Danio rerio: one gene and its partners. The protein of the gene in region 1 binds, or shares a complex with, the protein of each later gene. Links are inferred from orthologs where the notes say so. Each region holds a gene or a part of one and is shown in the gene's direction. Other genes may lie near its edges.

The links. Proteins that work in one complex are often made in the same cells at the same time.
Region 2: stx4 (region 1) and vti1b share a complex: the UniProt entries of both Homo sapiens proteins name them as parts of the SNARE complex. The link is inferred for Danio rerio from reciprocal best matches to the Homo sapiens genes STX4 and VTI1B.
Region 3: stx4 (region 1) and bet1l share a complex: the UniProt entries of both Homo sapiens proteins name them as parts of the SNARE complex. The link is inferred for Danio rerio from reciprocal best matches to the Homo sapiens genes STX4 and BET1L.

Annotation. Positions count from the first base shown.
Region 1 is NC_133187.1:22,374,207-22,377,964, forward strand, and holds the start of stx4 (syntaxin-4), read left to right. Parts: upstream 1-1,266; 5' UTR 1,267-1,420; coding exon 1,421-1,450; intron 1,451-2,560; coding exon 2,561-2,668; intron 2,669-3,420; coding exon 3,421-3,520; intron 3,521-3,664; coding exon 3,665-3,739; intron 3,740-3,758. UniProt on the Homo sapiens protein: Plasma membrane t-SNARE that mediates docking of transport vesicles. Necessary for the translocation of SLC2A4 from intracellular vesicles to the plasma membrane.
Region 2 is NC_133188.1:36,491,338-36,495,035, reverse strand, and holds the start of vti1b (vesicle transport through interaction with t-SNAREs homolog 1B), read left to right. Parts: upstream 1-852; 5' UTR 853-986; coding exon 987-1,083; intron 1,084-3,698. Other genes in the region: rdh12 (retinol dehydrogenase 12), read right to left, coding at 1-34. UniProt on the Homo sapiens protein: V-SNARE that mediates vesicle transport pathways through interactions with t-SNAREs on the target membrane. These interactions are proposed to mediate aspects of the specificity of vesicle trafficking and to promote fusion of the lipid bilayers.
Region 3 is NC_133200.1:8,372,633-8,376,390, reverse strand, and holds the start of bet1l (BET1-like protein), read left to right. Parts: upstream 1-1,132; 5' UTR 1,133-1,182; intron 1,183-1,811; coding exon of another isoform or gene 1,812-2,081; 5' UTR 2,082-2,084; intron 2,085-2,248; exon of another isoform or gene 2,249-2,310; 5' UTR 2,311-2,381; intron 2,382-2,542; 5' UTR 2,543-2,580; coding exon of another isoform or gene 2,581-2,817; intron 2,818-2,901; coding exon of another isoform or gene 2,902-3,057; exon of another isoform or gene 3,058-3,089; intron 3,090-3,758. Other genes in the region: kcnj11l (potassium inwardly rectifying channel subfamily J member 11, like), read right to left, coding at 925-1,132, 1,812-2,081, 2,581-2,817, 2,902-3,057. UniProt on the Homo sapiens protein: Vesicle SNARE required for targeting and fusion of retrograde transport vesicles with the Golgi complex. Required for the integrity of the Golgi complex.

The DNA of each region.
Region 1 (3,758 bases):
AAACTCAGATTCTTTTTGCCCCCTACTGAGTGATGCACCCATGTGGATATGTAAGCCCGTTTTCGCCACTGAGTAATTTTTTTGAAGTAGTTATTGCATTCAGAATTTTAATAATAATTCCTTAACTTTATATAGCACTTTTCTGGACACTCAAAGCACTTTACACATTTTTTGGGGGGTGGGGGAATCTCCTCATCCACCACCATTGTGCAGCATCCACCAGAATGACGGCAGCCATATTGCACCAGAATACACACCAGCTGATTGGTGGAGTGGAGATAGAGTTATGATGCCATGATGGACAGAGGCTAGTAGGCAGCTTTGGCCAGGATGCCGAGGTTAACCCCTGCTCTTTTTTTTCAAAGGACATCCTGGGATTTTTAACGACCACAGAGAGTCAGGTTTAACATCTCATCTGAAAGACAGGACTCACTGACAGTATATTAATGTACCGGCGTGTTAGGAGACATACAGACAGCAGGTTGAGCTGGTCTCCCTAACACACTTGTGGCAATAACCTACAGTTGCTTTCCCATGTGGTATCCCATCCAGGAACTGACCTGGCGCAGCCCTGCTCAACCATGAGAGTTGCAGAGGGCTAGCTGCCGGCAATGCTAATTATAGCTGGCTTTATAACTCTTATGTAATAGCTTTATATAATTGTGACATATATCTCAGAATGCTGTCTTTATATCGCACAATTGCAACTTTATATTTCAGATTTCTGACAAAACCTGTAATTGTGAAGTATATCTCAAAATTCTTGCTTTATTTATTTACTCAGAATTGTGACATTTTATATCTCTGAATTGTGACTTTATCCTAGAATTCTGACTTCATAACTCTAAATTGTAACTTAATCTCTGAATTGTAACTTAGAGTTCTGACTTTATGACTTATATGTGAAAATTATGTCTTTATATCACACAGTTGTGACTTTATGTCTGAGAATTCTGACTTTATAACTCGAAATTTTGATTTTAAATCTCAGAAATCTGAAACAAAAAGCGGGAAAAGATAAAAACTGTTATTCTCTGGCGGAAATTGGCTTCCTTAAATAGCCTCAGTCGTGTCGCTCAGTAGGGGGCAGTAAGAGCCTTGACGGATTTGTCAGACATCCGCAAACTGATAGAGAAGAAGAAAACGGTAAAGTCATATACAGCGACATCGCCCCACACTGATCTCTAAACATAACCAGAGTTTATCCATATAGCATAGATATACACAGCATCTCTCAGCGTCCATCAATATTCTGCTCTGAAAGTTATTTGTGGAAGTTGGCTGGCGTGAAATGTGACTTTCAATGGAAACTCCCTCTTATCTGTTGTGAGTTTTGCAAGTTTATGGTCAGGAGACAGATGAGCTACACCTCTTAAAAACGGGAACATTTCATCTGAGCTGGCCATAAAATACATCGAAAATGCGGGACCGGACCAAAGAACTGGGCAATGTGAGTAATTTCAGGGCAGTGCACGCAGGAAACCGGCTAACTGGCTAACGGGCTAATGTTATTCAGCGGATGTAACTACTGTCACCACTGGCTCGACTGCGATTTATTAACTCCTTCAAGGATTGTAACGAGTCACAATCTATAGTTGTGTGGCTTATTTTCTTGTGTTGGAAAAATATATGGTTAAAGTCCACGAACGGTAGGCTAACACCCTCTTGCAGCACCAGCGCTCTTGGGTAAACGGGGTGTAACTTTATTTAGCCTACAAATAAATACAGCTGCCATGAATGGTTGCATTTGAATATTGATTTTAGTTTTTCTCACAAGAAAGTTAAGCGTTGAATTGGTACTTAACTTTTAGTTGTATTATTATTAATACACTGTCATTCGCTCGGCAATAAAGGTTTATTATCATCCGTTTGTTTTTTCACGTAATTGTGTTGTTGCAGTTTCTTCTGTGGGACTACATTTGCCTTTCGACAAACAAATACCTTTAAATGTCCCAAAGAGAGTCACAAAGGGTTAATTTCACAAAGTTTTTACACTAAATGTTGCACATACTGAAAAATATGAATCTCCTGTATATGGTTTTTACTTCGTTTTCCTGTAAAAGCAAAAAAACTATAATGTTAATAAATTCACACACAATAAAACACACTATCTGTCATGTTAACGTGTTTTTCCTTAAAGCTACTTTTTGTGTAATCCTAAATTAATTAAATTCAAATATATATTTTTCATAAAACATGTCAAGTAAATGTAAAATATATCTTGATTTAAGACTTTCACACATTTGCAAAACGACGAATATAGTGGAAGATGTTTTTTGTAATGTGATGAGAAGAGTAACATTTTTAATGGCTATTCAGTTTTGACTTTTTTTTGTAAGTTTAGAAATAACAGATCTGTTTACTTTTTTTTAAACTTTGAGGTATTATTTAAAATAGATATTTTGCTAACCTTATTTACCTTTATCTAAGCTGCAGAAACACTGTCTTGCACTTTGTATGGTGGTAATATTTTTAAAATATGATAACATACAATATAAAAATTTATTAATAACAATATTCTTAACTATATTCAGTGTCGTATTGTGTACTCTTTTACTAGACTGCTGATGCCTCAGATGAAGATGAAGAAACCGTAGCTCTAATGATAAAGCCTGGATCTGGAACCTCAGCAAATGAAGACAAAGAAAATGAAGCTTTCTTTAAAAAGGTCATTGTAGCACGATTGCTCTCATTTTAACTGCAACTTTCAATACTTTTATGCACTAGTTTTAGGGATCTGTACAGAAGTAGCATGTTGTTTCTGTAATTAATGATTTTTGAACTGAAGTGTGTATTGTTGGTTCTTGTATAATATAATTTAGAAATCCTGCAATTCTGAACTGTGATTTTCTACACTGCAGGTTTCTCACAAATACTGATTAGTACGGTGGCTGAGAGCGCTCAAATGTACTGCACCAACAAAAAACACCAATAAAAAAGCATTTTTTATCAATTATTAATGCAAAAAATGTACAAACAACAAGGAACCTTACGACCAGGACATTAAAATAACCATCAGACAGCAACCCTGACAGGCTCTAAACAGGAAGTAGCTGGGTTTGTCTCTTTTGGGGTTCCCTGACACATTTCTGTCATGTGCTCTTTGCATATGTGCATGTGTTGTGAGAATTTGCTTACACATATTGTCAAACGAATGAACACATTTTCTTAGTTTGGTTTTTCTATATGCATATCTTAGCTTACAGTACATTTGAGCTCTCTCTCCACCACCGTAGATTAGGAACATGCACATGCAAACAGTAATAAAGGAATGAAGCTGTTTAGTGTTTGTGCAAACTTCATGTAATGTCAAACATTACACATAAATTACATTTGGGTCACTTGAATTCCATAACATTTGTGCTTGGAAAGTTTGCATTGAAACTTGACATAAAAATATATTTTCTTTTTTCTATGTAGGTTCAGGAGATTCGAGAGGGACTTGAAACTCTTAAGAGAAAGGTTTCCGAATTGGAGAACAAGCAGAAAACAGTGCTAGGAGTTGCACTTCCAGAGGACAGTAAGTAATTTAGCTTTCACTTGGGTTTTTTATTATTCATTTACATAATCTTATGTTGTGTGTGTGTATTAATTAATAATTATGAAGAGAGTAAGTTAAAGGATAGTGAGTGAATGAGTAAATTATATTTTTCTTTGAGCACAGGTATGAAAAAGGAACTGCAGTCACTCAGAGAAGACATCAAAGGGATGGCCAGCCAGATCCAAAAGAAATTAAAAAGTGAGACTGATAAATAAAA
Region 2 (3,698 bases), on another chromosome or scaffold:
AACCCGCCGCGAACGCCACGAGCGCGAGCATCATGACACTGCTGCTGCTGCTGTAACTGTACTGTACTCCAGTCTGTCTCTGTCCGTCCGAATGTGTTCAGCAGCCTCCCACTCACATCTACAGCTGTGCTCCCGGGGAATGATGGGATTGTAGTTTTCATTGTCTGCACCTGCACAAAAATGTTTCCTGAATGGTCATTAATTTGTTGCTGAAAATGATTGTAAATATTTTATTATTAAATATTATATTTGCAATAAACTACATGCTGTTTTATTGACATGTGTTGGGCCTTATTTTAATTATTGATATGTAGTAATAATGTATTTTTTCCTTCGCGTGTTTGTGTGAGAAAGTTTGCAGTATGCAACAACAAATAGAAAACAACAAAATGAATATAATTTAAAGTGAAATTGAAACTGAATAGTTTTTATCGTACAGCGTATCAAATATTATAGAGTGAATTATAGTACTATTAAGTCATTTATGTAAATGAATAGCAAATATGTAGGTAATATTTATTATGTCAGCTAAACTTTAATTGTTCGACGATTATATTTACGAAACAGATTAATTTGGGTTTTCCTAAAAATATGAACTACAACTCCCACACTGTATTTATGATGCGAGCTGTCTACATATTTGCTACGTTTAATTGAAGTCTACTTTTGTATCATTTTTCAAAAATGAAGTGCATTAAAATTTTAATTAAGCATACACATATTAATATAGAGCTGTTTTAGATGTTTAAAATTTTAAAACAGCCTTTAAGATTTTAATCTGCATTCTTGTTTGCAGGCAAAATCAAGACCGCCTATCATCACGAGGTCCAACACGGAAGCGTGAGCTGCAGTCCCGAGGATTTTGTTATTGCCCGAGAAGCTGATTTTTCCCTATTGTTTCGTACCACAACAGACTTCAAATTTTCGCTCTTTTATTCTGTTGTCATTTATTTTGTTTATTTGCTTTAGACTTCGTTTGTTCCACTATGTCTTCAGAGGAGTTTGAAAAGCTGCATGAGATGTATAAATCTCTGTATGACGAAGTGAAGTTGATGCCAGAACGGGTGCAGAAGAGCCAGGGAGGTGAATAAACTCTTTATACTGTATTATACGTTAACAAGACTGTGCGAATGAACTGCTTTCATCAGTGAATAGTCATTAACTTATTTTGAGTACTGTCATTAGAGATTTTCCAAACACTCCTGATATTGTAGCTGTGGATGAAGTATCGAGATTATGGAATTAGGCTGCTGTTCAGAAAAAAATGCTAAAATATCAACCATTAACAAACGCTTTGAAAGTGTGTGGCTATAGTTTTTTTAATCCACGGGAGTCTAGGACACGTTCATAAACTGGGTGCGAGGATTACAAATTGCTGGCTCAGTAAGAAAGACTGAGTCTAAACAAATTGCCATATACACTGCTTTGTGTCTGCAGTAAAAATGCAGTCTGCATATTTGGAAAAGACGATGTCATCTCTATCCCTAATTTGCAGAAGTGAGGTAAAGTTGGTTTTATATTTGCACATTCGTTAGTTTTTGACCAGTGGCAAATTGTGACTGTCTACTTTCAATAATGGCTGTGAGGCATGGGATTATGATTCAAAACGACATTAGCACATTTATTGACTGTGAACGACGCTGTACATTGATAGTCATTGGCTATAATATAATTTCCCTATTAAGAATTTTCAAAAATACTTTTCTGAAGTTATATTTGGAAGACTAAAGTCTCAAATGTGTGAATATAAAACAAACTTTACCTCAATATTTGCAGAGGGACATTCTAAAACGTTTAACGTGGCTTAATGTACTTGAACATCAACCAGAGAAACCCACATTTCTGTCGAGCTTTACTTGTAATTAACCCTAATGACTGTAAAATCAATGAGTCCCAATTCCCTAGATAAAATGTAAGACATCACAATAACCATTTTTCTGAAGTCTATTATAAGGAAAAAGCTTAACATGGCTAATGTACCTTAACAACAAGTGGGTAACATTTAGTTTCTCTTGGTTGTTGTTGTAAAGTCACGTTCAACCTTTTCTTATTATGGACTTCGATGGGAGGAAAACACTTAACGTGATATTGTTCACTTTATCTATGGAATTAGGGCCTGTTCTTTAGACAATAGTTAGTGTTAATCACTAGTAAAGTTTGACAAATTTGGGTTTTCCTGGTCAGTGTTAAGGTACGTTAAGCCAGGTTAAGCTGTTTCCTTATAATGGACTTTTACAGAGAGAACGTTTAGTGATATTGTTCACTTGATACAGTATACTAAAATAAAAGTTTGTTCTTTTAACAGAAGAAAGTGTTTATGAGTATATTTTTATATACATTTGATTGTCTCAATGTTATTAAGTTAAACCTCATTAAGGTCTTATAATGGATTTCAATGGGGATAAAACGTTTTAATGTCACATTGATCAATTAACTTCATCCACAGAATCAGGACTTGATCTTTTGCTAGTAGTTAAAGATAATTACAAGTGAAATTTCATAGATTTTTGGTGTGCTCTTGTTGAGGTACGTTAAGCCATGTTAAGCTCTTTCCTTTTATAATGGATTTGAAAAACGCATAACGTGATCCTTTTCACTTACTAAAATTAGAGCTCATTTTTTTGACATCAGAAAGTGTTAATCACAAGTAAAATTTGATAGAAATTAGATTTTATTTTAGAAATTAGATTTTAATTAGATGTACCTTGTTGTTAAGGTACATTAAGCTACATTAAGCTTTTTCCTTACAATAGACTACAGAAAAACGCGTAATGTGATGTTTTACACTTTATCTAGGGCAGTAGTTCTCAAACTGTGGTACGTGTATGCAGGCTTCCTTCTAGTGGTACACGGAGGAATCGCTGAATAATTAAAGTAAAAATGAGCACACTTTTAACCCTTTGACGCGTACGATAACGCCGATGTGATCAGTAAATTGATTTTAATAGGATAAACCTTTCATTTTATTTTCAATTTTCTAATGTTTGTTATGTATTCTATCATTTAAAGCTAATTTCCTCTCCATATTTGTAACAGTTGTAGGGGCTTATCCCATATTTTTATATCCCAATGTTCACAGGTATAGTTTAATCACTTGCTTTACTGACACACATAACCTACTCTAACGTGCAGTGGGCAAACTCATTTTTTATTTAAATATGCAAATCCAATTCATATATCTAAAATACAAGTTAACATTTAGATTTCAAAGATTTACAAAGTCATATATACATGCATCATATATTTCAAAATTTAGGATACTTTATGATAATACTTTACATTTAGGTACAGCAGTTTTCTCTTTACTTTTTAAAAACAGTGCCGTTTTTGATTAGCTTTTGAACGCACAGTTCAACAGCACAGTGTTAATGTTCAAACTACTTATGATGTTTAATATGGCTGAAAATAACAAATATTCATAATAATAATCAGAATTAATCTGCCACGCTTTTGAATTGTGCAGTGCTGTAGCTGCTTAATTAGGCCTACTACACTACTGTATTTCAATACTGGTCATTATGGTGGTACTTGGGAAGAATTTTTAATTGAGGTGGTACTTGGTGAAAAAAGTCTAAGAACCACTGATCTAGGGAATTGGGGCTCGTTCTTTTACAGTCATTAGGGTTTATTACAAGTACAATTTGACAGAAATTTGGGGTTCTCTGGTTGATGTTTAGGTACATTAAGCAACGTATTTG
Region 3 (3,758 bases), on another chromosome or scaffold:
AGCCTGGTGAAGGGTGTGGATCTTTTTTCTTAAAAAGTTGACCATTTTGCATTTATTCGCCTAATTTTTTTCTATGTAATTATGAGGTTAAAATAAGTTGCATTTTTGTAACATTTTAAGCACTATTTTTTTGCTGGATTAGCTTGTTTGATGGTCATCATAACCACATTTTTGATGTTAAGGTTTACATCAATTATCATTTACATCATATACATCAATTGCATCATTAGAAAAAATAGGAATTTGTTAAAGTTTTAAATTAAAAACTTTAGCCTATTGTTATTTAAATATCATTAACATAAAAAGCAAACCGTCCCGCACATTCAACTTTCCTCAGTCATGCTGACGCAACAACCAACACAGGATTCCACATGGTGTTAAAGCCTTTTTCCATGGATTATTTTCACAACTTATTATGACATAGTAGTTATGGGCCTTTGTCAATGAGGGGTGGGTCTTCTGAACCACCTGAAACCCTCCCCTGGCTACAGGCCTGCTTTGTTAATAACTTAATTTAGACAACTTTAAAGGCAGCTTTCCCAATATTTAGATATTTTTAAACCCTCGGATTCCAGATTTTGAAATAGTTGCATCTCAGCATCAATGACAAATGTATTTATTCAGCTTTCAGATCATGTATAAATCTCAATTTCCCAAAATTGACACTTATGATTGGTTTTGTACTCTAGGGTCACATATTAGAGAGCTTATCTATGATAATCCCTTAAAAATACTTTGGCTTTTAAACAAAACAATTACATTAAGCAGACTCTATTCAATCAAACATTCATTCTCCTTCGGCTTAGTCTCTTATTTATCAAGGGTCACCACAGGGAAATAAACCGCCAACTATTCCACCATATGATTTATGCAGCAGATGCTCTTCTAGCCACAACCCAGTACTGGAAAGTAGACTCTATTCACCTTCTAAAATGACAATGATCTCCAGATCTTCGGTAGCCATTGACTGCGCTGAGAGCTCGTACAGTGGACTCCCTCTGTCAATGGTGTGACTGATAATGAGTGGAGAGACGAGGAATATGCCGTTGCTCCTGAGAGGGTTTTCCACCTGGATATCTAACTGACAGACGGGAATCACTTCGCCCTCCGCTGTCACTGTCCGCCGAATAACCTGAGGAGCAAATATCAAGATCAGGATGGAATCAAACTCAAGAATATCTGGTACAGACATGATATATAAAGCATTTTTGGCTCACACTTCACATAATTTGTGTTTGTTATGATAATCAATGTGTATGAAAATCACTCTCCATGTCGAATTTCTAAATTCTTGCATTCAAGATGCCTGAATAGATTTCCATTCTGCCAAGTAATGGCAGAATTTTAATTTTAAGGTGAACTGTCCCTTTAAGGCAGAATTTATACTATCTTTAAAGCTACATATCTGCCATCATTTTGACATCAAATGCCTTGCTTTTATGTTGTCTGAACCTGGTGATAAAATAATGATTAAATAACCTTAGTTTGAAGGACATATTAAAGATCTATAGCAGTGTTTCTCAACCACGTTCCTGGAGGACCACCAACACTGCATGTTTTGGATGTCTCCTTTGTCCGTCAAACCAATTACAGGTCTTTCAGTCTCTGCTAATGAGCTGACGGTCTGAATCAGGTGTGTTTGGTTAAGGAGACATGGAAAATGTGCAAAGCGTGTGGTCCTCAAAGAAACGTGGTTGAGAAACACTGATCTAAAGGACTAAAATGAAGAACTCTCTAATAGAAGGTTCTGTGGATGTTAAGGTTCTTCAATGATTTAAATACATCAGTAAAGAAATAAACACATCTGTCACCTGCAGCTGTATGTTGGCAGAGATGATCATGCTTTTTCTCAGATCTCCAACACGAAACATCAATGTCGGTCTGCCATTCCTTGGGGCAATGACTGCGTTGCGGGAGAAGATGAGGGTTTCTGCTCTGCGGTTGGCTTGAGCTGTCTTCATGAACACACAGCCAAGCATGATGGCGTTGATGATCAGGCCCAGAATGTTCTGGATGATGAGGACTATGATGGCCAGCGGACACTCCTCTGTCACCATTCGTCCTCCGAAACCAATAGTTACCTGGTATTACAAATGCTTCATTATCTTACAGACGATTTAAAGGGGTCATGAACTGTGAAACCTAAAAATCACCTAATTTTTTTTTTTTTACATATAAGAGCTCATAGTTCTCTAAAAATATCCTGTAAGTTTTAGAACTGAACACTTTGTGGTTCCTCTAAATACAGATTATATTGAAGGCAGTCTGAAGATAACAGATTCTTGAATGTTCTACTCTATGATGTAATAGAGTGGATAAGCCCCGCCTCCACAGAAGATTGACGTCAACTTCTACTTCACATCCTGTTCAGCGCTGTTAAGGTATAGTTTACCAAAAATATTACATTGTTTATTCTCCCTCAGTTTTGACAACTAGTATTACGTTTCAGTCAGTCCAATCACAAGTGGATGACATTAAATAAAAATGTATGCGGAGTCTAAAATATTTAGATTACTGAAAATGCATGTCATAATAATTCTAGATGGAAACAGAGTCATATCTATCCAGATTGATCCTTACCTGCACTTCAATGGAGAACAGAAAAGCAGAAGTGAAGGAGTGAATGGATGTGACGCACGGCACAGGTCCGGGTTCATTGGGATCTCGAGGTTCTAGATCTCCATGAGCGAATGCCAGGAGCCACCACACCATGGCAAAGAGCATCCAGGAGCAGAGGAACGCTGAGGTGAAGATGAGCAAAGAATGCTGCCATTTCAGGTCCACCATGGTGGTGAACACATCTTGGAGAAACCGACCCTGAGAAGCAATAATCTCTTATGAACACTGCAACTGAGTCAATTGAAACTTTTCTTTAGCCTAGAACTGATAGGAAAATCTCACCTGTTCTCGAATATTCTTGTGGGCTACATTACATGAGCCGCTCTTGGTGATAAAACGTGCCCTTTGTGACTTTGGCCGGATGCGGCTGGGTTGTGCATCTTCAGCGAGTCGCGTTAACAAGAACCCATCAGGCAAAAGACCTTTGCGGGCCAACATTATGACAATTTGTGGCCAATTGGTGCTCCGCACTGTAGAAGGAATTTAAAAAAAAGAACTAAAATATACAGTAACACTAAGGGTTTCTTGAAAAATAAAGAAAAAATTATGAAGTACATTTCAGTTAATTTAGTTTATCTTTAATTCTTTAGCCCTTTTTACAATGTAAACAATATACAAAGCAGTTTGACATTACATTTTATCATTAATTCATCATTAAATTTAGTGTTTTGTTTTACTTATACTGCTAAAAAAATAATAATAATAAATTAGGTTTACAGTATATATGCATTGAATTGCATAATTTTAAAATCTTTTACCTAAAGGTAACGTTTTGCCTAATAATAATGCAAAAGGTTACATTTATAAATTACATAATGAATAAGGTTATAATAACATTATAATAAAGGTTACATTAATAAATTATATTATTAGGTTATAATAAATAAAAATCGAAGAATTTTTGATGTAACTCGTAATATAATAGTTAAAGCTTAATTTTAATTATTTTTTTTGTTTATTTTATGCATAAACAGATAACTCATAAATTGTCTTTTGTTAGTTGCACAGATATCAAAGCATATTCATAATTTTAAACAATTACATTTATATTTCTTTTAGTTTTTATATTTAACTAATTTAAAATATAATTATTTAATTAAATAAATGGTAATCGTTTATTAAGGGAAAAACTGGCATGA